3 linked regions of the Alligator mississippiensis genome follow. The protein of the gene in region 2 purifies or fractionates together with the protein of the main gene of each other region. This does not show direct contact. Links are inferred from orthologs where the notes say so. Each region holds a gene or a part of one and is shown on either strand. Other genes may lie near its edges.

Evidence for each region. Proteins that work in one complex are often made in the same cells at the same time.
Region 1: the proteins of SAP18 (region 2) and EIF4A3 fractionate together in Homo sapiens (co-fractionation; 3 studies listed by BioGRID and IntAct, with this or other methods). This does not show direct contact. The link is inferred for Alligator mississippiensis from reciprocal best matches to the Homo sapiens genes SAP18 and EIF4A3.
Region 3: the proteins of SAP18 (region 2) and SRSF1 purify together in Homo sapiens (co-immunoprecipitation; 4 studies listed by BioGRID and IntAct, with this or other methods). This does not show direct contact. The link is inferred for Alligator mississippiensis from reciprocal best matches to the Homo sapiens genes SAP18 and SRSF1.

Annotation. Positions count from the first base shown.
Region 1 is NC_081824.1:234,479,165-234,486,272, reverse strand, and holds the start of EIF4A3 (eukaryotic initiation factor 4A-III), read right to left. Parts: upstream 3,028-7,108; 5' UTR 2,960-3,027; coding exon 2,797-2,959; intron 1,766-2,796; coding exon 1,693-1,765; intron 1-1,692. UniProt on the Homo sapiens protein: ATP-dependent RNA helicase. Involved in pre-mRNA splicing as component of the spliceosome. Core component of the splicing-dependent multiprotein exon junction complex (EJC) deposited at splice junctions on mRNAs.
Region 2 is NC_081824.1:433,379,527-433,386,772, forward strand, and holds SAP18 (histone deacetylase complex subunit SAP18), read right to left. Parts: upstream 3,080-7,246; 5' UTR 3,033-3,079; coding exon 2,961-3,032; intron 2,882-2,960; coding exon 2,772-2,881; intron 1,600-2,771; coding exon 1,477-1,599; intron 791-1,476; coding exon 634-790; 3' UTR 222-633; downstream 1-221. UniProt on the Homo sapiens protein: Component of the SIN3-repressing complex. Enhances the ability of SIN3-HDAC1-mediated transcriptional repression. When tethered to the promoter, it can direct the formation of a repressive complex to core histone proteins.
Region 3 is NC_081837.1:6,053,395-6,061,359, reverse strand, and holds the start of SRSF1 (serine/arginine-rich splicing factor 1), read right to left. Parts: upstream 3,028-7,965; 5' UTR 2,905-3,027; coding exon 2,711-2,904; intron 2,328-2,710; coding exon 2,143-2,327; intron 1,867-2,142; coding exon 1,694-1,866; intron 1,421-1,693; coding exon 1,226-1,420; 3' UTR 1-1,225. UniProt on the Homo sapiens protein: Plays a role in preventing exon skipping, ensuring the accuracy of splicing and regulating alternative splicing.

The sequences.
Region 1 (7,108 bases), about 200 Mb from region 2:
TCAGTCTCCCAGGGCCAATAAACTCCTATAGACAAAAACAAGCAGATTTTTTAAAAAGCTGTTGAGTGTTCAATCCATCAATCTATGGGATAGTTTGGATAGAGATAATCCTGCCTCAGGCACGGAGTTGGACTAGATGACCTCTGGAGGTCCCATCCAGCCCTACTTCTCCATGAATGACTCATTATCAAGGAGAGAAGAACAAGCTTTTTCTCCTCATGTAGTTCAACTTAAAGCCACCAGATATGCCTGGTTGACAAAAAAGATCAACTGCAAAGCCCATCTCAGCTGCTTGTCAGCTACAGTTGAAAACAGGGTGGGGAGCTTATCAAAATAAGGATTTAATATTGTGGATGCAACTGCACTTACTTTCCCCAATGCTTGCATTTATAACAAGTTTCAGGAGTTAACATGTGGATGAGTTCTCACACTTACAGTGCATTTAACTATTGTGCCATATTCCTTACAACACCGTGGTGAAGCATCCTATATATCTTCTTGCTGACTGCTTGTGTACACTACCAAAAATGTATTAACTATAACAGTGATCACCAAACAGTCAATTGCAATCAACTGGTTGGTCTGGAAGTCCCTGACAGTTGATCTCAGTCTGGGGGGAAGAGGGGGTGGCTGCTAGCCCACCCAGACTAAGATCAACTGTCAGAGGCTCCGCAATAAGGAGGAGCGGGACACACGTGGGGAGCAGCAGGATGCATGTGGCTGGGCTGAGCCATGCCCCGTCATTGGGGCCAGGCTGGATGAGTGACACAATCCTCCTCCGCACCCCCTGCCACCTGGTGACAGAAGCCCCGGCTGTACTGGGGGAGGGTCAGAGCCCAGGGTGGCTCATCCAGGCGCACGGGGGGTCTCCCTCTGCTGCATGCACCCCATGGAGGCCCGGAGAGCATGTGCTCCCACGATCTGTGTGCAGGGTGAGGCAGCAGCCGCTGCATGCTAGGCTTTGTGCCCCGAGCCCTGCTGCAGCTTGGGGCACAAAGCCCAGTGTGCAGCAGCAGCCACCTCGCCCTGTGCACAGATCGGGGGGGGGCACATACCCCCGGGCCTCCATAGGGGCGAGTGCAACAGCACACCCCCACTATGTGCCTGGACAAGCCACCCATGCTCCAACCCTTCCCCAGCCCAGCCGAAACCCCACTCCCTCCTGCCCCACTCCCTCCCTCCCTCACCGTGGGGACCTCGATCTGCCTCCCCCTACCCCCCTTCCTCCTACAGACTGACCTGCTGGGTGGGAGGATGGTGGGAGTGGGGCACAATAGATCCTGGACTGCCCTTTACTTCAAAGAGTGATCTTCACCTTAAAAAGGCTGTAGATCACTGAACTACAATGTTAAAATAGGCAACTCTGAGTTCTAAAAAACATATCCATAACTGTTATATTATTCCTTGGTTATACTTTAATACTTATATTAAAAAAAATAAACAACTGATTCTTTCCTGTGTGGAGCACCTTTATAAAGATATGTGAGGGGCAAGGATTTTGTGTAGGTGATATCTTATTGGCCCATCTGCATGGTTGGAATACATTTAGACAAGCTTTTGAATACAAGACACTTCTCATCAGAATTTGCCGCCTGCATAATTCCTGGATCATCACGGGTACATCATTCTACCACTTTATAAAGACAAACATGTTATATTATTTTCTTCCTTCAATCACATAATTTCACTTACTGTGCAATCACATCTCTTCCTTTAATGATCTGTTTGATTGCTCTCTGTTGGATCGCCGATGGCTTCTCAAAACCTGCAACATTTGAAATAATATAAGACACCTTTTTAAATGCCTGCTCACAGGTGCACAGAAGTAGCGCTTCAAATAATTTGAAAGCTGATGTGTGAAGCCAAGTGTAAGAAGTGGGTTTTCAGAAGCACGTAGGGCAGCAGTTCCCAAACTGTGGTTCGTGACCCCAAATGCGGTCGCAACATCAGCAAATGGGGTCGCAATAAACAGGGATCTGGGTTGGGAGTGGGGGGCCATGCTGAGGAAATGGAGTCATAAGTGGGGTCATGCTGAGAAAAAGTTTGGGAAGCACTGACGTAGGGACTGTTCCATTAACTTGATGGTTTTCAGCCAGTTTGGTTAGGTCAGTACAAAGGTGCCTGGACACTTGTACATAGGGGCACCTGCCCCACTTCAGCACAGCTGACTTCTGCAGATGTAACAAGCTGCAGCAATATTAGCCTAGTTTAAAGTGATACAAAAGTGCACAGGATAGCAGTGCACTGCAATCATTTAGCTGCTATGTCCAGAGAAACCCTAGAATTGCAACTTGCATTGTCTCTCAGCAAACTGTGTCCACATTCTTCTCTCTTCTTGGATAGCTCCCCCACATTGGGCTCTCTAGAAAGAACAAACTTGACACCATGTTGTTTGATGTCTTCCTACACCTCCCGTTGGAGGCCCCTGTGGTTCAGTAATAGACTCCTTATCACCCATACAGGAGACCTGGGTTCAAATCCCAGATGCTTACACAAATACAGTCACAGAGGCACCAAGCGCCTAAACCCAGTCTGACCTTTGGATTCTGTCTCAGTGCCCTAAAGGGGGGGATGCAAGGTCTGACCAGCCCAAATCTCCTCTGGGCGACCTCTCGTGCATACACCATAACCCGAGAGGATCAAGGGTTGTCAAACATCGCTAGGGCCAGGGGTAGGACGGCTCCCCGGCAGGGCGGAAGCGGGGCGCGCGCGGGCCCGGGAAGCTCCGCGCGTGCGCACACGGCCCGGCACGCGCTGCCCTCTGCTCCCCCTCCCCGGCTTGCCCCAGCCGCGCACCATAGGCGTAGATGCCGCGCAGCAGGTCCTCGCGCAGCCCCATGGTGTCGAAGGTCGGCGTGACGTCCACCTCCTCGCTGGTCTCGAACTCCACCTTGGTCATGTCTTCCTCCTTCATCAGCCGCTTGCGGGCCGAGCCCGCCGAGCCCGCCGCCCCCGACATAGTCGCCACTCCGACAGCGGCCTCCGCGCTCCGACCGGGAACTGGGCGCCTCACGTGCGTGCGTGCGTGCGTAGCAACGTCAAGCCGCACGGAGCGTACGCCCTTCCCTGCCTCCCAGCGCTGGCGCATGCGCGCATACTCTCCGTTCTTGCCAGCAGTTCTGAGCAGCTCCTCAGACGCAGGCGCGGACCTCACTGCCGCAAGGGGCCGGTGTCCTGCTTGGAGCGTGGTGGCTTGCCGTGCGGGCAGCCAGCCAGGGGAGGGGGCTCCTGTGTGGCTTTGTTACCCAATGAACTGGGGGAAAAACATTTATTATTATTAAAAACAAATTTTATTGTTCGTTAGTTGGCCTGATAAATTCATATTTATTCATTAGTTGGTCTAATAAAAAATATCGTGTTTACCCAAAGAACCTCGTCTCCCATTATTCCCCAATCACAAAGGGCATTTTACACATCCAAACACCGCAGCACTGGGCACTTTGAAAAGCGCCCAGCACTGCAACACTTGAGGTTGTATAAGTGGCAAAATGAGCGTGAGCGCTGAGAAAAGGGCAGTGGCGCACTAAACGCATTGGAGGTGCTTTCGTTCAAAAGTTCTCCGTTGCCATTTTCTGTGCACTGATGCACATTTTACCACTTGTACAGCTGCACAGGGTGCAGCGCGGTTTGCTTCAGCTCGCCTGTAGAGCAGACTCTGAAGCAGTGGATCTCCAGCTGGTCATGGGACAGAAAAATATGTGTATAAACAGTGGCGCAAATGGGTGCACATGCACCCCTCACACAGCCAGCATTCCCCACTTAGGTCGCTGACTGGCCACTGGGGGGAGGGGGGGGCAAGTGCCCGCCCAACTCAGGAGGCACCAGTCGCCCATGTGTATTTATGCCCAAAGGTTCATGCCCTGCAAGATGCTCTGTAGCCTGATAGAATGAGCACTTACACACGTGCAAGGAGCCTGCTCCGATGCACTGGAAATCCAGCACGCCAGCATAGATTCAATTAATCAACTCTGCTGGATCAAATTTATGTAAATTGACATGCTCTGGCAGCCTTGCGTGTCACATGCAACGTGCCTCTGCGCTGAGAAAATGGTGGCGGTACGCTTTGAATTAAAACACGTTCAATGTGCTTTAGTTCAAAGTGCACTGCTGCTATTTTCTCAGTGCAGAGGCACGCTGCACTGCTGATACATGTGCTCCTGACGTGGCACCAGGTGCTTTTAATTAGCACGGCTCACTAATTAAAAGCGCCCAGCGCCAGGGTGGAAACGCATGTAAAAATGCTCAATAGTTCTGGCATTATGCATGTGGGATATGCTGGTTTCCTCTGAGTGTTGGTAGCACCTGGTGGGTTCCACAAGAAGAGAGGCAAGTGCCCCACAGAGTCCTGGCCTGGGGGATTCTCAGGGTGCATGCACAGATGCTTGAAATGATGGAAGAAACTTCCCAGCAAATAAAAGACCAAAGGCCTAGACACAAGTACAATTGGGAAAAGGAGCAGACAGTGTTCCTAGACCAGCATGCTTGAAAAATTCAGAAGTGGGGCACAAAGATTGTCCTTTAGGGCAGTGTTTCTCAACCCATGGGTCGCAACCCAAAAGTGGATCAAAAGAATATTTGAAAGGGTTGCGAACAAACTTTAAAAATGGGTTCTCCTTTAAAAGAGAAAAACATAGGAAACTGTGCCTTTTCCCTTGCAGGCTGGCAGAGCTCCAGCCTGCAACAGGCTGTTTGGGGCTCCCCATGCTCCATAGACACCCCTTGCCCCACACACTGGGGGGCAGGGGGAAGTGGGTCAGGAGTGAAGGGCACTGGGCAGAGACTGGCCATTGATGTTTACAAATGGGTCCTGGTACAAAAAAGGTTGAGAACCACTGCTTTAGGGTCCTTTGAATCCAAACCTGCTCTTCTCTGGCAGAGACACAGTCCAAGGACTTTTGCCTGACATGCCTGGTCTTGCTGCTTTAGAAACTATTCTTTTGGGGGGGTTCTCATTTTTGGAAGCCATACGGGGAGCCCTATCAGTCTATTTCTCTTTTGCCAGCATCATCAGATGACTCCAAGAGCTGGGTACCAGCCCCAGGCTTGCTTGGTTCATGATTTATTCCTGCCCTGCCTTTAGGTATCTCTGAGTGGGGACCAAGCCTGAAGAGCCCAGGGACACAGGTGGGATCATATTGTGAACCTGAACATAATATCCTGACTGCCAGCAGATTCTCCTTTTGGTATGCCAAATAGGCTGAGCTTTTTATTGGTAGAACAATGTACCTGCCATTTTTAGTTTCAACATCACAGGCCTTGACACATGATGACTATTATATCTTCCTCAGTTTCTGGCTAGTCTCAAAGGAAAGAGCTGTCCATGTCTCCAGGAGTCTTTCCTTTGACTTTGGTGTGTACTGGATCGGGCCCAAATTGTGAAGGACCAGAAAAGGTACTCAGTGGGCACATCTACACCTACATGTGCACTTTAATGTGCATTAGCCTATTTTAATGCACATAAAGCATCACATAAAAACTGTGGTCACCTTTACATGTGCTCTGGTGGGGGAGATGGCACTTTAATTAGAGCAGCTCCAATAGCTACTGTGTCTTCTGTATCGCATCCCTGTGCTTAAAAACAGTGTCAAGGGGGCTTGAACTAAAGCTTGTTCCAACACCATTTTTAAGCATCAGGACACTGATACATGAGATGCAGGAGGCTGCTGGAGTGCAGGGCTGGACACAGGCATGGACATGGGCGACTGGTGCCTCCTAAGTCTGGGGGAGCACCTGCAGAAGCTGGCAGCGGTGGTGATGGTGGGGACGGAGCTGGCGAGCATCTGCAGGAGCCGGCATCAGCATCGGGGATGGAGCTGGTGAGCACCCGCAGAAGCTGCCAGTGGCATCAGTGGCAGGGACAAAGCTGGCAAGCACCCACAGAAGTCACCGGCAGTGTCAGCAGCAGGGACATGTGCTCCCCTGTGCTTGCCCTACTAGTTGCCTATGGGCTCGGGCAAAATGGGTGGCCGCCTGGGGCCTGGACAGAAAGGGGGCCTGAAAACAGTAATTTTTTAATTATTATTGCAAAGGGGGAAAGTTCGTCCAGAGCTGCCAGGAGTCTAGGTACAGTGCTGCTGAAGTGTAGCAGTTGCCATGCTCCAGCAACAGGCCCTGCCCAGACTCGATTCATCAAGTCTGTTCTGAGGTGCTGGAATTCCACTGCATTGAAGCAGCCTCTGTATAGGCGCCCTGTGCTTTTTATTTCCTGTGCATTCAAATAAGCTAATGTGCATTAAGCCTTGCTTAAGAAGTGGCACCTTGATGCACATCAAGCCAGACTAACGTGCATTTGGGGACATGCACCAAGGCTGACCTGATGTGCTGTAAATCCTAGTTTACAGGTTGCGGACCCTCCGGGACAAAGTGGGTTCTTTGTTTCTTATCTTCAGATTGGGGTGGGATGCTTTTCTGGAAGACAAACCCAAGTTATTGGGCTTCACACAGGTGAAATCCTTTGTTGAATGGAATTCAGGTCATGCCTTTCACCTGAGGCGTGCTTCCAGGGATCTCATAAATGGTTAGCCTGTTCTTGGGCCCTCTCTGGTCTCACAACCCCAGCAGCTCCTATTCCCACCTCTGTTTACAATCCATGGATTACTGGGAATAAAGAATCATGGGGACAAAGCCAGAGAGGCAGGAGGAGGTAACTCCACAGCCTCATACCTTCCTGTAGGAACAGTGCTTCCCTCCACTGCATGGCAGACCAGTGCCCCAACAGGGGATGAGCTCAGGCTTACAATAGCCATGAAACTCCCCATTCTCCGATGGCCTCCAGTCGATGGAGATCAGATGTAAGAGTCAATAAAGATGCAGGAGAAAGAAGGAAACAACACGTTAGCCGTGGGACAGCGGACACACCTGTTGTGTTTGCATCTCTCATTTGGCTGGACAAAGCCCTGGCTGGGATGATGTAGCTGGGGATGGTCCTGCTTTGAGCAGGGGGTGGGACTGATGACTTCCTGACGTCCCTCCCAGCCCTAAGTTTCTATGATCCGTGCCCGGCCCGGATCCTGGCTCAGCCGTGCCAGGGGGCAGCTGCACAGCCAGAGGCGCGGGCTGGGAAGACGAGGCGGGTCAGCGCGAGGCGGAGGGGCGGCGCGGCGCGGCG
Region 2 (7,246 bases):
TTTTTCCTTTAAAATGGGCAGGTGCATTAGTAAAACTAGACTTTTATAGGTCGTGTTTGCTTTGATGATAAGGAAAGATAATTACTCTTTAAAAAAAAACAACAAACAAAATGTTGTTTGGAGACTTACTTCTGGAAAGTAATCATACACAAGGATTCTCCCACTGATGCCACTGTTCACATGCTGCTAGGTAGCAAGTCAGTCAAGAAAAGCACTCTCTCTCCTGTGAGCGGTTTGTTTTTAATCAAGCTCAACCACCATTAAATCAGGCCTGATCTAGTCTTCAAACTCAGAAACATGTTCAAAACAATAATAATGTTATTCCACTCTACATGGCTTTTAACAGAATGGTAAGAGCACTTCTAAGCTCTCAGTCACATTTTACATAAATCTTGAAACACTGAACATTTCTATTCACTTTTCATATCATAACAGCTAGGAAAGAAGAGATAACAAAGCAGATTCAGATACTGTTTCTTTTAAACTCACGCAGTAAAATTAATTATTTAACTCTTGTTGTCAAGGCTTAGAAGTGTTTTCAGATCTTGCTTAGCAATAGTAATAAAAAAGGCCTGTTTCCTACAGCATGTGAAACCCACTGGAAGATACAGTCATCTACAAAAAAATGACACTTTAATATGGTCGCATGCGGCTTGATGGGGGTGGTGCCCGATTTGGAGGCGTAATTGCTATATCCAAGTAGTCCCCTATCTGGAATTTCTGAGACTGCAGCGTCATGGAATCATCTGTGCCCTTTCTTCCCGACATCGTACTGCCAATTTCTTTCACCCTGAAGGGAAGATATGAAACGTCATTTCATTACACAACAAAAGAGCAAGTCAGTCTCTTTTTAATGTCAGAGAGATTTGCAGACTAAACAGGATCTGAAGGGGATGAACTGTTAAGTTTTTCCTCAGTTAGTGGGATACAAAGACGTTGCCTCCCTTCTTAATACAGTATTAGCTGTTTCTCTGATACAACACTAGACATAAAATAAGTAAATAAAGTTGCATCAACTTTTCCCCTGTCAGAGCTTGAAGTATCTGGCAAGTTAGACACAAGAGAAGTGGTAAAGAAAATGCAAGAAATATAGCAGGACCCAAGCCCCTGCTTTTTCAACTAGTTTCTGGTGAGCTCATATAAAAACTGTCCCTATCCAGTTTTAATTAAAAAAAATAAATTTGTGCTAAGAGCAAACTCTTGATGGTGATACAGTTACTACCCTTACTACCAGAAACAGCCTTTTTGTTTCCACTCCTATCTACAGGCGCGTATTCTGGGTGGCAGATAATCTAGTGACCAACATCTTTAGGCAAACACTTCTCAGTGTTTTAGAAAAGAGAAACAGGAATAGTAACTGAAAAAAAAAAATCAAATATTAACAAGCGATTGCCATGCACTCTGTTACTATGAAGAACTTCTCTCATACAACATGGAACATAAACTGTTACTGCAAATAAGACTTCAGTCAGTTACCTATAACCAGGTCTCTTGAGATCTGTAAAAACAATGGCAAAATTGAAATGTGTTCCCTTTTTCCGTGCTTCTGGATAGACTTCTTTCACTAAACTTGTCAGCTCCTTTAAAGTTGCATCCATCCTAGATTTTAAAAAGAAAAAAAAATCATTAAGGTGGGGAGGGTTTCTTTTTTTATTTGAAGTTCTTAAAAATCTTACACTTACTAAAAATGTCATCTGTGAGACTTTTTGTCTAAATCATAGACAACTCTAAAAACACCTCTCTCTTGCATAACTCAATACTTTTATGTATTTAAATGACACAAGAAGCATTTCGTGGTTAAGTATTTTGGGTTTTGAAGTATTTTCCTTTCAACATTCAAAGTATTCAAAACATGTCCAGGATGAGTACTCACTAGTAACTAGAACACCTGCTAGGATATCCCCTCCCTCCCACCCCCCAAACATGTAGTGATCTCATACTCAGAAAGTCTGGGGTCTAACCCTGGCTCCGCTCCAAACTGCCGTGACCTCTCTACCCATTTTCTAGTCTACTTCAGAACACAGTTCTTTAGGGCACTGACCTGGTTTTATACATTTATACACTACAGAGCACAAAGGGATCTTCAGCTGACAGCAATAAAACCACTTATTTTTGTATTGTTTTTTAAACCCTTACAAGAGAGACTAAGGAAGTGAAAAAAATAACTAAAAAAAAGAGGGAGAGAGAGAGAGATGTCAGGCAACTTGCACAAGGAACCCATCAGTCTTTGCTAGGGTAGGTGCAACTGACCAACCCTCCCTCCCTCCCCCCCAACTCCATGAACAAGGAGGGCTTAGCCCTGACACTTAACAAGACTCCTAACACAGCTCTCGTCTTCTAAGAGCGCAGACACAAGTGACACTCTTCATCCGACGCGGACACAGAAAGCAGGCAACAGCCGTGACCAAACACAAGCGCATGGCCGCAGACTGCTTTGAAAATGGCCGAAAAGGGGAAAAACCTGAACCCTCGCTGCATGAGGGGTCAGATAAAGACATCTGAAGGCAGAGCGTCTTCTGTGACATCTGTCTGCACCGCCTCCCAGCCCCTTGCTGTTTCCACAATGGGAGGGGGGTGGGAGTGGAAGGGGGTTATCCAGCCCCCAGGTGTGGGGGGCTCCAATACACCTGCCCAGCTCCAGCGCCAGCCCCGAGAACGAGCCCCCGCTGATCCTTCCCTCCCCCCTGAACCGAGAACAGGCGGGGAGGGGGGGGGACTCCCAGTCAGCAGCAGGCGGCGCGGGGCGGGCAGGGCCGCGGGGGGGCACGCACCAGGTGTAGATCTGCAGCTCGCTGGAGGGCACGTTGCCGCGCGAGAACTCGTCCATGCGGTGGTGCCGTCCGTTGTTGGTGGTGAAGACCCGCAGCAACAACGGGCACGTCTGCAAGGCGAGCACAGCCCGTCAATGCCGCCCGCGGCCCCTCTCCGCCCCGCCCCGCCCGGCCCGGCCCCGCCGGCACCTTCTCGCGGTCGATGGGCTTCTCCGGCTCCTTCTTGATCTCCTCCTGCGTGACGCGAGACTCAACCGCCATCTCGGCTCCGGCCTCCAAGGAAGTTACCCGGATGTCTGGGGTGCAGCCTCAACTGCCCCTCTCGCGAGAGCTCGCGGGAGGCTGGATGGGGATCGTACGCATGCGCAGCAAAGAGAAGGCGGGGCGGGCGTCCGCACGCGCGAGGGAGGGGAGAGGGAGGATCGTTCTACGCATGAGCAATTCACAGTGGCAAACGGGGAGATGGTTCGGCGCATGCGCAGTTTACAGGGACAGACCTGGTCTGCTGGGTGGGGTTTCGTGCCCAAAGGGGGCGTGGTTTGGCCGTGAAGGGGGTGGGGCCTGGTGGAAAGCATGGGGGGGGGGGGCAAGCAACGTGCTCCTGAGCCTGCAGGCAGGCAGCAGAGCAGGGAGAGGCCCCACTCACCAGGGAAGCACATAGCCTGCAGCTGGTTTCAGGGTGGCTGGGGTAGTGCTGGCTCATGTGGACCTCACACGTCCTCCGTGATGGCCTGTTGCCTCAACACGTGACATGGGAGCAAGCAGAGGTGTCACAAGTGCCTGCCGTGCCCTGGGCGGAGTGCCAGCAACTGGTGCACCAGGGCTGAGGGGTGTCTTGCCTGCGCCAGCCTCCCCATGCTGTGGTGTCAGCTGCTGCTGTAGCTGAAGGGCAAGCTCCCCGCACACCAGCCACAGCAGGGGCACCAGTGACCCCCTGAGGGAGTCTCCTAGGACAAGCACAGCCCAGGCCCAGAAGCCTTTGCAGGATTTCATAGATTTCATAGACATTAGGGCTGGAGGGGACCTTGGAAGATCTTGAGTCCAGCCCCCCACTCTAGGGGCAGCAAGTCAGCTGGGGTCAAAGGATCCCAGCAAGATAAATGGGGGGCAGGCCAGCACCCAATCTGTATGTGTGGGGGGGGGAGCAGAACGGCGTACGCCCAAGGGCACGTTGCCATGGGAAGTATAGCTCCTTGCCCAGGAACGTATCTGGAGGGGGTTGGGCAGTGAACAAGGTACTGAGATAGCCCCAAGGAGCTGCAGCTGGATGTCATGTGCTGGCTGCCCCCACAGCACAGGCTGCCCAGGGGCTGCTCCCGGTGCCTTGTGCGCAACCCCCCCCACCCGCTACACTACTGAGCCAGAAGCTGTACCTCCCTTAGCAAAAATCCCAGGGGCCTGCCAGGCTTCTGTGCCTGGGGTTTGCCTACCCTAGCAAAGGCTCTGGGGATGGGGGTGTTTTGGTAATTCCTCGAAGTGAATGCTCAAGGCAGGTGCCCTGCTGCCACCACTAGTTATGCTAGTAGGAGTCACAGGACACCAGTTCTCTCTCAAAGGCCAGGGGAAAGGCATCCACATTAAATTCCATTCCAAGTGGATGGTGCAGTTCTTTGATTTCTCTTCTCTTACATGCCATGATGAACAGTGAAATAGTTAACAAAATGTTGACAAATGACTAAATAGGCTTCTGAGCCTGCCTCTGTGGGTTCAAGGCAGTGGTAGTTTGTAGGCTGGGGCGGACAATTATTTTGGGCGGAGAGCCACTTACTGAGTTTTGGCAAGCCATCGAGGGCCGCATGACAGGCAGCCAGGGGCAGATAAATATTAATTTTCTAAACTTTTTAGGGGCCCCATGGGCTGGATAGAATGGCCCACAGGCCACATTTTGCCCACCCCTGTTGTAGGTAGAATATGCAGGGCTGTCAATGATATTTTTCATTTTTGTTTTGCAATGTATAATACATTATGTTGCCTTTTACCTGAATCCAGCCAAGTTCCTGGTAGTTTTGTCTTAAGGCATCATTGTTATTTATTGGTGGACTTCACTGGTAGACTTCACAGGCTTTAAAGAGACTTGTTTAAATGGGAAATGTAGAAACACTTCTATATACTAAGTAGTCTTGTATCTGTCACTTCTGTCACTTGCTGATGAAGTTTAACTGATGTTCTGAAATAGCTTCCTACATTTGTTCTGCTCGGTTTCATGTTTGCAAATTGATTCTCAAGCTTTGGGGGCTAAATCATCTCCAACATTTTCTAATATATGGAAAAGCTTATAAGAAGCTAATGTGATTTATGCTTCTAGAACAAGACAAAATTCTCTAAGGGGTAAAGATTTTAACAGATGTCTACAGCAGATAACTATGTAGCAATAAAGTGCTTTAACTACAAGTAGTTTAAAAATAAATTGGATTTCAACAAATCATTTAAAATGTTCCCATAATATCACAGACTAGAACAACCAAGTCCATATGCTATCTATTTTATACCCTAGTTTTTCCAATAATTTAACATTGCATCATGTCAGTCTTAGATCAGCTGTTGTGCTCTGCCAAGTGGAACACAGAAACAGGATAAATGTATGTTTCTGGTATGAGGATCAGAAATAAAATAACTACGCTCATATCTTCATAGTAGTGATGATAACTAGGCTCAAGAGGGTGAGAAAAAAAACTTCACACTTACAAGTTGATTTAGAAAAAATTAAAAGAACCATTCCATTATCATCATAGTCTAGCATATTTTCTTTTCTAGATCATTCTTTGTAACAATTTTGTGCCTCCTCACCTACCACACATTTATGATAATCCTGCAAAGGCTTATACTCTTCCTTAACTATGCACTCTGTAAGGAGAACTACTCTCAAAGCATAAAGCTAAGAATGTGCATGATTCCAGCAAAACCAGAGCTTTAGAGAGATGCAATAAATGAACCTAGTTATGTTATGTCTCCTGTTTAGCAACAGGGGCTGGCATTTTTACAAGGGTGCTCCTGCAATACCTACATATCTAAAGCACTGATAAACTAAAGTGCTTCCCTGAATAAGCCTGTACTTGCGCTTATCTGAATCAGGTACCTAACACTACTGGAAAATATATGAAATATGTTGTGCATTTTTTAAAAGTAGCCTGTGATCTCATCATTGATTATTATAATACACATGCATAAAGGTGTAGAGCTACAGTTTGTACTTTTGCACTTGCATTTCTAGGACTCAGGACAGTCAAACAAAATGGCCAAACAGTCAAAAAAAAATTTAAAATTCCTTCCCTACCTTCAGGTCTTTTACACACATCATAAAGAAGAAAAAAGAACCCAGTTTATTTTTTAATTATCTCTAGCTCTCTGTAATGTAATATCAATACAAACTGAGTTTTTAATTTTGATTTATACCACTGCTAAAATAAGACGAGAGAACCAACAAAACCTAAGTTAGTGTACCCTCGCTCCTCTCCCTTCCTTTTGTGAGAGATAATATTGACAAAGAAGCCAACCCTATGGTATGAAGTTATAATTATCACTTGAATTATCAAAGGAAGTAATTCAACATCATTGCCATCTGTAGGGTGGAATTTCCAAGACAACAATGCAACTCATTACACTGTTAAAATGAGTTATATCTGGCCCAGTAATACATGTTTAGGCCTTAATACACAGACCTCCATTTGCAAAACTTAAGGAATGTATGCTTAGGATCAGGTATCATAAAAGAACAGCTGCAACAAATACAGCACAGCTATGTTCAAACTACAAGGGAGACGTGGCGAAAGGGACCTTACAGTGGGTGTCTACTACAGACCACCCAACCAGGGGGAAGAGCTAGACCAGGACTTCTCCAGTCAGCTTATGGAGGCGGTTAGGTCAAGGGATGTTATTGTCATGGGTGACCTAAACTACCCAGACATTTGCTGGGAGGAGCAGACAGCCAGGTCTGACTGCTCGCGTAGGTTCCTGGCTGTATTACAGAACCTTCATCTTATCCAGGAAGTGCACAGCCCCAATAGGGGTAATGCCTTGCTGGACCTGGTCCTAGCCAGAGAGGTGATACTCCCCCTCTATGTGACTTTGGTCAGACCGCAGTTGGAGTACTGCGTCCAGTACTGGGCGCCGCACTTCAAAAGGGATGTGGCCAGCCTGGAGAGGGTTCAGAGGAGGGCCACCCACTTGGTGAGAGGGCAGCAGGACAGGCCCTATGAGGAGAGACTGAAGGACCTGAATCTGTTCAGCCTCAGCAAGAGGAGGCTGAGGGAGGACCTGGTGGCTGCCTACAAGCTCATCAGGGGGGATCAAATAGGCAGAGCTTTTTTCTCCCCAGCACCACCTGGGATGACAGGGAACAATGGTCATAAACTGATGGAGAACAGGTTTAGGTTGGAGATCAGAAGGCAAGATTTTACAGTTAGGGTGGCCAAAATCTGGAACCAGCTTCCCAGGGAGGTGGTCCTCGCCCCTACCTTGGGCAAATTGAAGAGGAG
Region 3 (7,965 bases), on a different chromosome or scaffold from region 2:
TGTAATATTTACATATGTTAACTGGTAGCGCCAACATAAGTCATTGCTTGCATGGTGAATTACAGGTTTTGTGGTTGTAAAAAAAAATGTTTATGAAATTGGAAAAGTTGACTGCTAAAGCTATCCACCTACTGTATGTCTAAACTAAAGCTAGTACTCCCATCTGGAGGGTAACAAAATTAACTGCTTTCAAAACATATCAGTGAGTCAATTGTGCATTAGTCTGAAGGGGAAGGGTTGAGATTTAAGGAATTCTTCCCAACTAGTTTCATTTTTGCTTTCATTCTGATACTTAAAAAAAAAAATGAAGTAGCAACGCTATATCAGTCACACAGAGGACATGCAGATTTTAGCAGTATTGATATTATACTCTGATTTGAAGATACCCTGAATCTACAAAGTGTACAAACACTACGCAACGTTAACACTTGTAACCAAATGCTGCATGACAAAGTGAACCGCTACGCCCACCCCCGGAAGTTCTTTTAAAAAAAGTAAAATGGAATAAAGTTACAAAAGCAAGTAGTTTTTGCCACAATTGCTAACAGGGTTTTAAGGAACAGAGCAATTGTAGTCTACAATAACTAAAACATGCCTGAAAAAGTTACAAGTAGATGTAAGTACTCAATTAACCATTGTCATTCAGTATAAGGTCAATACTGCCAATTTCATCTGTGACAATAGCACTTGGAGTCATACCATTGCCTCCATTATTGATCTGATCCTCCTCAATCCTCCTTTTGACAATCCTAAAATGATTGACATGTGCTCCACAATCCTTTAATCCAAAGCATTCTTAATCCATCTCTTCAGATATGTCTACAGAAAGACACATGAAAAGGCAAGGTAAAATATAAGATCCCCCAGAAGAGACAAGTTAGCCACAAACATCCCAACATCCCCAGCTCGTATAAACCATAGCTGAACACTGAGACATTTACACAGCAATACCACAGTCTGAAGAGTGTGGGTATTTACTAGAACTAAATTTAAACAATCCTGACTATGACATCAATTAAAATACAATTTACCAAAGACATGAGGGGGGAATGTTGATGTTAAGGAGCAAATACTCACTAGGGATTTTACACAAGAATGCAATTCAACACTTTAGCCAATTTGAATAAAACAGTCTGAATTAAAAAAAAAAAATGAAAAGACTGTACTGAGTAAAGAAAATTGTGTACAACATGGGTTCTACAAAAAGATCATAGCTAATGGTCATTTATGTACGAGAACGAGATCTGCTGTGACGGGGAGAGTAGCGTGGAGATCCTCTGCTTCTTCTTGGGGAATAACTGCGGCTTCTGCTGTTGCTTCGACTACGGCTCCTGCTACGACTACGGCTGCGTGACCGAGATCTTCCATAGCTTGGGCTTCTTGGGCCATCAACTTTAACACGGATGTAGGCAGTTTCTCCCTATTAAATAGACACAACTTTCGATTGAAGGGTCTAAGCTTTTCAGCTGTCTTTTCAGGCATGCTGAGTACATTAAGTAAGACACAGTCTTTTAAATAAAAGCTGCTCTGTTTCTCTTGTGCTAACGAGGACTGCCTTACAATAAACCACATCAGACTCCATTTTTTCTATGGGCGCCAGCTGACACAGTTGAGCCTTCACTTCCTTACCTTCAGCTCCCATTGTTAAGCCCTGTGTATCCAATTCTGGCCCCAAAATAAGCAGGGAACCTACCTCATGAGATCTAAACTTAGTGTTATCCAGTTTTCGCACCGCGTAGGTCATATCTTCTTTCCGCACAAACTCCACGACACCAGTGCCATCTCGGAAAACATCAGCATAACATACATCACCTGCTTCACGCATGTGATCCTTCAAATCCTGCCAACTCCCACTTGGAGGCAGTCCTGAACAAAAACAGGTCGCAAATTACCCGGGACGTCCACGGGGTTGTTTATGACCCAGCCGCGCCGTTACGTGCGGCCGGGCACAGCAGGTGCCTAGGTGATTTGAATAAATTACCCCCCGGGGGAGGCTTTCGAGTGCTATAAATAATAAGCGAGGGCTGCGTAACGAAGCTCCTCGGGGGAACGCAATCCCGCGTGGCTCAACAGCGTCCCCGGGGGGAAAGCCGCCCCTCGCCCCGCCCTCGTACGGCCGCCGGGGAACGGGCGGGATCTTACCCGAGACGATGACTCTGTACTCGGAGCGCCGGGACGGGGGCCCGTACCTGCCCCGCGGGGCTCCGCCTCCTCCGCCGCCACCACCGCCTCTGCCGGTGCCTCGGCCGCTCCGCGGGAACTCCACGCGCAGGCGATACCCGTCGTAATCGTACCCGTCCCGTCCGTACACCGCGTCCTCCGCGTCCCTGCGAAGCGGGGCGGGGTGAGCGGGGCCTGCCCAGCCGCGCCCCCGCCCTTTGTTCCCCCCCCACACTGCTTTCCCGCCGGCCACGCCCCAATTGGGGGGGGGGGCAAATGGCAACATCCCCATGCTTGGGGGGGGGGCAACAAAGTGAGAACTCCCCCCATGCCTGGGGGGGGGGCAATAAAACAGGAACAACCTCATGGTTGGGGGGGGTCCAGGCAGAAACAGCCCCCATGCAGGGGGGAGGGGCACAATTTAGTAAGGGGGTCCGAAGCACCACGTGGGGGGGGGGTTGTGAGGGGGTCCCAGGCACCATGTAGGGGGGGTCCCAGGCCACGTGCAGGGGGGGGCGGTATAGCGGGGGGGGGCGGTCCCGGCCCTCACCGCGGGTCCTCGAACTCGACGAAGGCGAAGGGCGGGCCGCCGCGGCGGTTCTTGAGGTCGATGTCGCGGATGGCGCCATACTTGTAAAAGACGTCCTCGATGTCCTTGGTGCGGATGTCGGGCGGCAGGTTGCCCACGTAAATGCGGCAGTCGTTGTTACCGGCGGGGCCGCGGATCACGCCGCCTCCGGACATGGCAAGGTCAGCAATGGCTGCGGCGGGCGCGGGCCGGAGCGCAGAGAGAGAGAGAAAAGGTAGCGAGCGGGCGAGCGCCGGGCACGGAGCGGACGAGAGGAGCGAGCGCGCGACGGCTGCAAACACGGCTGCAAAATGGCGCCCGCCGCTCCCTCGCGGTGTTGCTGCGCGCAAGGATCCCGCCGCCGGTCGAAGCACTCCTTCACCCCGTTCGGACTGCGTCGCGGTGTCGCTCCGCTCGCACCGCGCATGCGCCGCCTGCAGGGAAAGTAGTCCCTGCCTTCAATTGCTTCGCCTAGACAAATGCTACCGTGGAGCTCGGCGGAGCGCCGCGCGCCGCGGATTGTGCGGCCTAGAGCCGGCCTTTGGGGCGTGAAAAGCACTCCTTTGCCCCTTCGCGAGGCGGAAGCCGTCACATCCGGTGAGGAGGCCCGGTGAAGAAGATCCGGCTCAGCTCCGAGGGGAGGGGGGCCCATAATGCAACGCGCGGGCAAAGGGCGGGGGAGCTTGGCGCCAAGGAGGGGCGTGGCCCACAATGCACCGCGCGGGGGCCTGGCTGCTTTATGTGCCCTAAGGGAGCCTGGGGGAGGGGCAGGGATAAGCAACAGCCTCCACGTTCCCCCCTCAGTCTGAGCAAGGGGTGCATTTCCCTCCTGACCCCACATCCAGCAGCGGCTCTGGGCATGAGAGAAGTCTGCCCAAGCCAGCAATCCTGTTGCATTGCCATGAGGCTGAAGTTGGTTGCTTATTCCCAGTTCCTAAGGCAGGGGGTCAAATAATGGGAGTCAAATAATAGATATATGCAAGCATGTTGGTGCTCTGGAAACCTCCCAGATTAAATTTGTGCAGGGGAAGGGGATCCCTGCCGATTTCCAGCACCGCGTCCGTGCCTTGTGCACCCTGCTCGTTGCCTTGGGGTGCTGGTTTCCTTGCTCTCCTAAACCCATCTCGACCGCCGCACCGTGCCTTTCGTGCCCTGCTCACTGGCGACACATGGGGGGCACGCGGGGGCACGCGCACCCCCGGAGATCGGCGGTGCACCCCCTGCAAAAAGCGCTGCTGATGCTGCTGGTGGTTGCCGCTTGCCACCCCCTTCACCGCTGAGTTTCTTTTGCAGAGGAAGGTAAATTTCCCTCTGAAATAAGAGGGGTAATGAGCAGAATGATCTGTCTCTAGGTGACTGGTTACTGCAGAAACCAAAGTGTACATTTCATAGCGCTGCTTATACAGGTGCTCCTCAATTAACGTCTTCCCAGTTAATGTAGTTTCGTTATTACATCGCTGCTCTGTTAGAGAACGTACTCGTTTGAAGTGGTGCAATGTTCGGTTATAATGTTATTCAGCTGCCACCTGCTAGTAGGTAGCTACTGTGACGTAACTGGATTCACTTAACATGGTTTCATGTAAAGTCGCATTTGTCAAGAACGTAACTACGACGTTAAGCAAGGAGTAGCTGTACTCCTATTCCTGGTTTGAGCAGTGTCTGTTCAGCTTCTTTCCCAGCGTAAGCGTTCACTACATTTTGGTTAGATCAAAATGGGGGAAATGGTATATCTAAGGGAAGTATCTTTCCAAGCTGCCTGTCTTTATCTACATGCCAATACAGTCACTCCATCTTAAACTATCAGCCTGACAGGGAACTGACACCTAAGTCAATGAAAAGCAAACTATACAATTTATGTGATGCGCTCATCCGTTCCTAACTAGACACAGGTTTGCTTGATTGTTTAGGAGAGCCGAGGGACCTTTATTTTTACGTCCCTTATTTCTGCAAGAGCTTTTCAAGGCACCTGATTTGGTCCCAGCAATTTATTTTTTTTAAATGCCTATTTAATTGCAGTCGCCAATATATTGACAAGGTCTGTTTCTCTTAAGGGACATCTTCCATTCTGCATTCATTATGTGCCATGTGTGCTGTTATACGCATCTTTTACCATGTCAGGTTGGTGCATAATGTGAAAGCTCCATAAGGAATTGTGGGGAAGGGAGAAAAGATTGGGAAGGAAATGGGAAGAAGCAAAAAATATATATCGTACAGCTTGTGGATATTTGGATGATGGTTTTTGCATACATTTTAGTATATTTTTCTGGTGTGTCATTCCCTCCCTGGTTTTTAACGGTGGACCTGAATACAAATGCTTCTGAACGTAAAAGGGGAATTTAGAAAAGAGCCTGGATCATGCATTAAGAACCCAAGACTAATTTTCAGAAGTAAGTTTAGCAGTTAGGCACAGGTCATCAAGGGTAATTAGGCACCCGACTGACCAACATGTGGGTCTTAGTTCCTGAAGTCAGTAGAACTTGAGTTCCTGAGGGCATATCTACCCATCCTCTGTGTTGGGCCTGGGTAATCAGCTACGAAGCATGCCCTTTCCATTAGGCACGCACCAAATCCCATCCTACAACAGTGCCTGAGTAAGCATCCCTGAGACAGGGAGCCTGAGGAGGTGCTGGGCATGCTCTTAGCTTGGCTTCAAGGCAGCTACATGGCTGCACTTTGGGGTCTGGGGTGCCTAGAGTGGGCAAAGTTAGTGTAGACATGACTTGTGTGCCAGAGGGACTTGGGTTTGGTTTGCACACAGCTTTCCTATCCATCTAAGTATTTGACTTAGGATACCTTTTTGATTTTTAATCAGTATAGTCACGTGTTCAAATCAGCAGGTCCAGATGCTGTCCACCCCAGGGTGTTGAGGGAGCTAGCAAGGGTTATTGCAGGGCCCTTGGCACGGCTTTACGAGTACTCGTGGTGCTCAGACCAGGTGCCAGATGATTGGAAGATAGCCAATGTGGTCCCCATCTTTAAAAAAGGGAGGAGGGAGGACCCAGGCAACTATAGGCCCATCAGTCTTACCTCAATCCTGGGGAAACTCTTTGAGAAGATCATCAAGGAGCACATCTGTGATGGGCCGGCATTGGGGATGATGCTCAAGGGCAACCAGCACGGTTTCATTAGGGGCAGGTCATGTCAGACCAACCTGATTGCCTTTTACGATCAGGTCACAAAAGCACTGGATGCAGGTGTCACCGTGGATGTAGTCTTTCTGGACTTCAGCAAGGCCTTTGACACTGTCGACCACCCCATCCTCATTAAAAAACTAGGCAACTGTGGCATTGATGCCTACACAGTCAGATGGATTGCAAATTGGCTGAAGGGTCATACTCAGAGGGTGGTGGTGGATGGGTCATATTCAACCTGGGGGGAAGTAGGCAGTGTGGTCCCCCAGGGCTCGGTCCTTGGGCCTGCACTGTTCAATGTCTTTATCAGTGATTTGGATGACGGGGTGAAAAGCAACCTGTTTAAATTTGTTGATGATACGAAAATTTGGGGTGAGGTGGGCACGCTAGTAGGGAGGGAAAGACTGCAGCAAGACCTGGATAGGTTGCAGGGTTGAGCTAACAAAAACAGGATGCGTTTCAATACGGACAAGTGCAGGGTGCTGCACTTGGGCAGTAGTAACCAGCAGCACACTTATGAGATGGGAAACTCCCTTCTTGAGAGCACGGAGGCAGAAAGGGATCTTGGAGTCATTATTGACTCCAAGATGAACATGGGCCGACAATGCAAGGTCACGGTTGGCAGGGCTAACCGGACCTTATCGTGCATCTCAGGTAGGGCCCAGGAAGTGATCCTCCCCCTCTACGCGACACTGGTCAGGCCACAGCTTGAGTACTGTGTCCAGTTCTGGGCACCCCACTTCAAGAGGGATGTGGACAACATTGAGAGGGTCCAGAGGAGGGCCACCCGCATGATCCGGGGACAGCAGGGCAGACCCTACAATGAGAGGCTACGGGACCTGAACCTGTTCAGCCTTCACAAGAGAAGGCTGGGGGGGGACCTGGTGACCGTCTATAAACTCACTAGGGGGGACCAGAAGGGTTTGGGGGAGACCTTGTTTCCCCTAGTGCCCCCCAGGAGAACAAGGAATAATGGCCACAAGTTGTTGGAGAGTAGGTATAGATTAGACATCCGTAAGAACTACTTCACAGGGCGGCTAGGATCTGGAACCAACTTCCAAGGGAGGTGGTCCTGGCTCCTACCCTGGGGGTCTTTAAGAAGAGGCTTGATGCCTACCTGGCTGGGGTCATTTGAGCCCAGTTTTCCTCCTGCCCAGGCAGGGGGTCAGACTTGAAGATCTACAAGGTCCCTTCTGACCCTACTTCTATGATTCTATGATTCATAGAATCCTTAGGGTGGATGCAGTGCATCTTTTAGTGGTATGGAGGGCATTTCAGAAACTAATGATGAAATAGCTGTTGTCTGCAATGAAGTGGGAAACTACACAGTAGTGGGGAATATTGATGGCAGTGTTGTCAAACGCACCAGTCGTTTACGATACATAGAGAAGATGTAGAAAAGTCTGTCCGATAAATGATTGTTGCACGCAAATTGCTTTATTCAAAATGGTTTTATTTTGAAATTGCTGTTATTTTCTGGAGCACCCTCATAGATTATCTCCCTTCCCTTAGTACAGTGGATTGCAACTTTTTTAGACTCGAGGCACCTTGGATAGATTTGAGGGACCTTTCAGAAAATGCCAGCTTAGTTTTCAGTCTTTTTTTTACAGAAAAAATAATGGAGCAGTTTTTCTGTTGCAAAGAATAGACCACAACTGTGCATTTCTACCAGAAATCTCTGGGTTTATTTTGTGAATCATGTTTGTAAACAAAGGATGCTAACATTGTGCAGCACCCTGCAGCACCCTTGAAGGGCTCCCAAGGGTACCATGGCACCCTAGATGAGAATCACTACTTTAGTACCTTTATTACAAGCCTAACTGTGTCCACACTAGGGGGGGTTACATGACTTTCAACTAGAGTTGAAGATATAAATTGGTACAACTGTTGTGAATGGATGAGGCCTTTAGGCTTTTAACTTGTTTGTGGGCTTTCAAAAACGTTCCCAACATTGTTAGCAGTGTCCATTTTCTGCTATGATTCATTTTCATACGTTAAGTAAAAATACATATTTCTGTGAGATAACAGCAATCATCGTGATACACCATGAAGAGAATATTTTCAGAGTAATGTAATTCTATGCCAGCTTGACTATTATAAATGCCT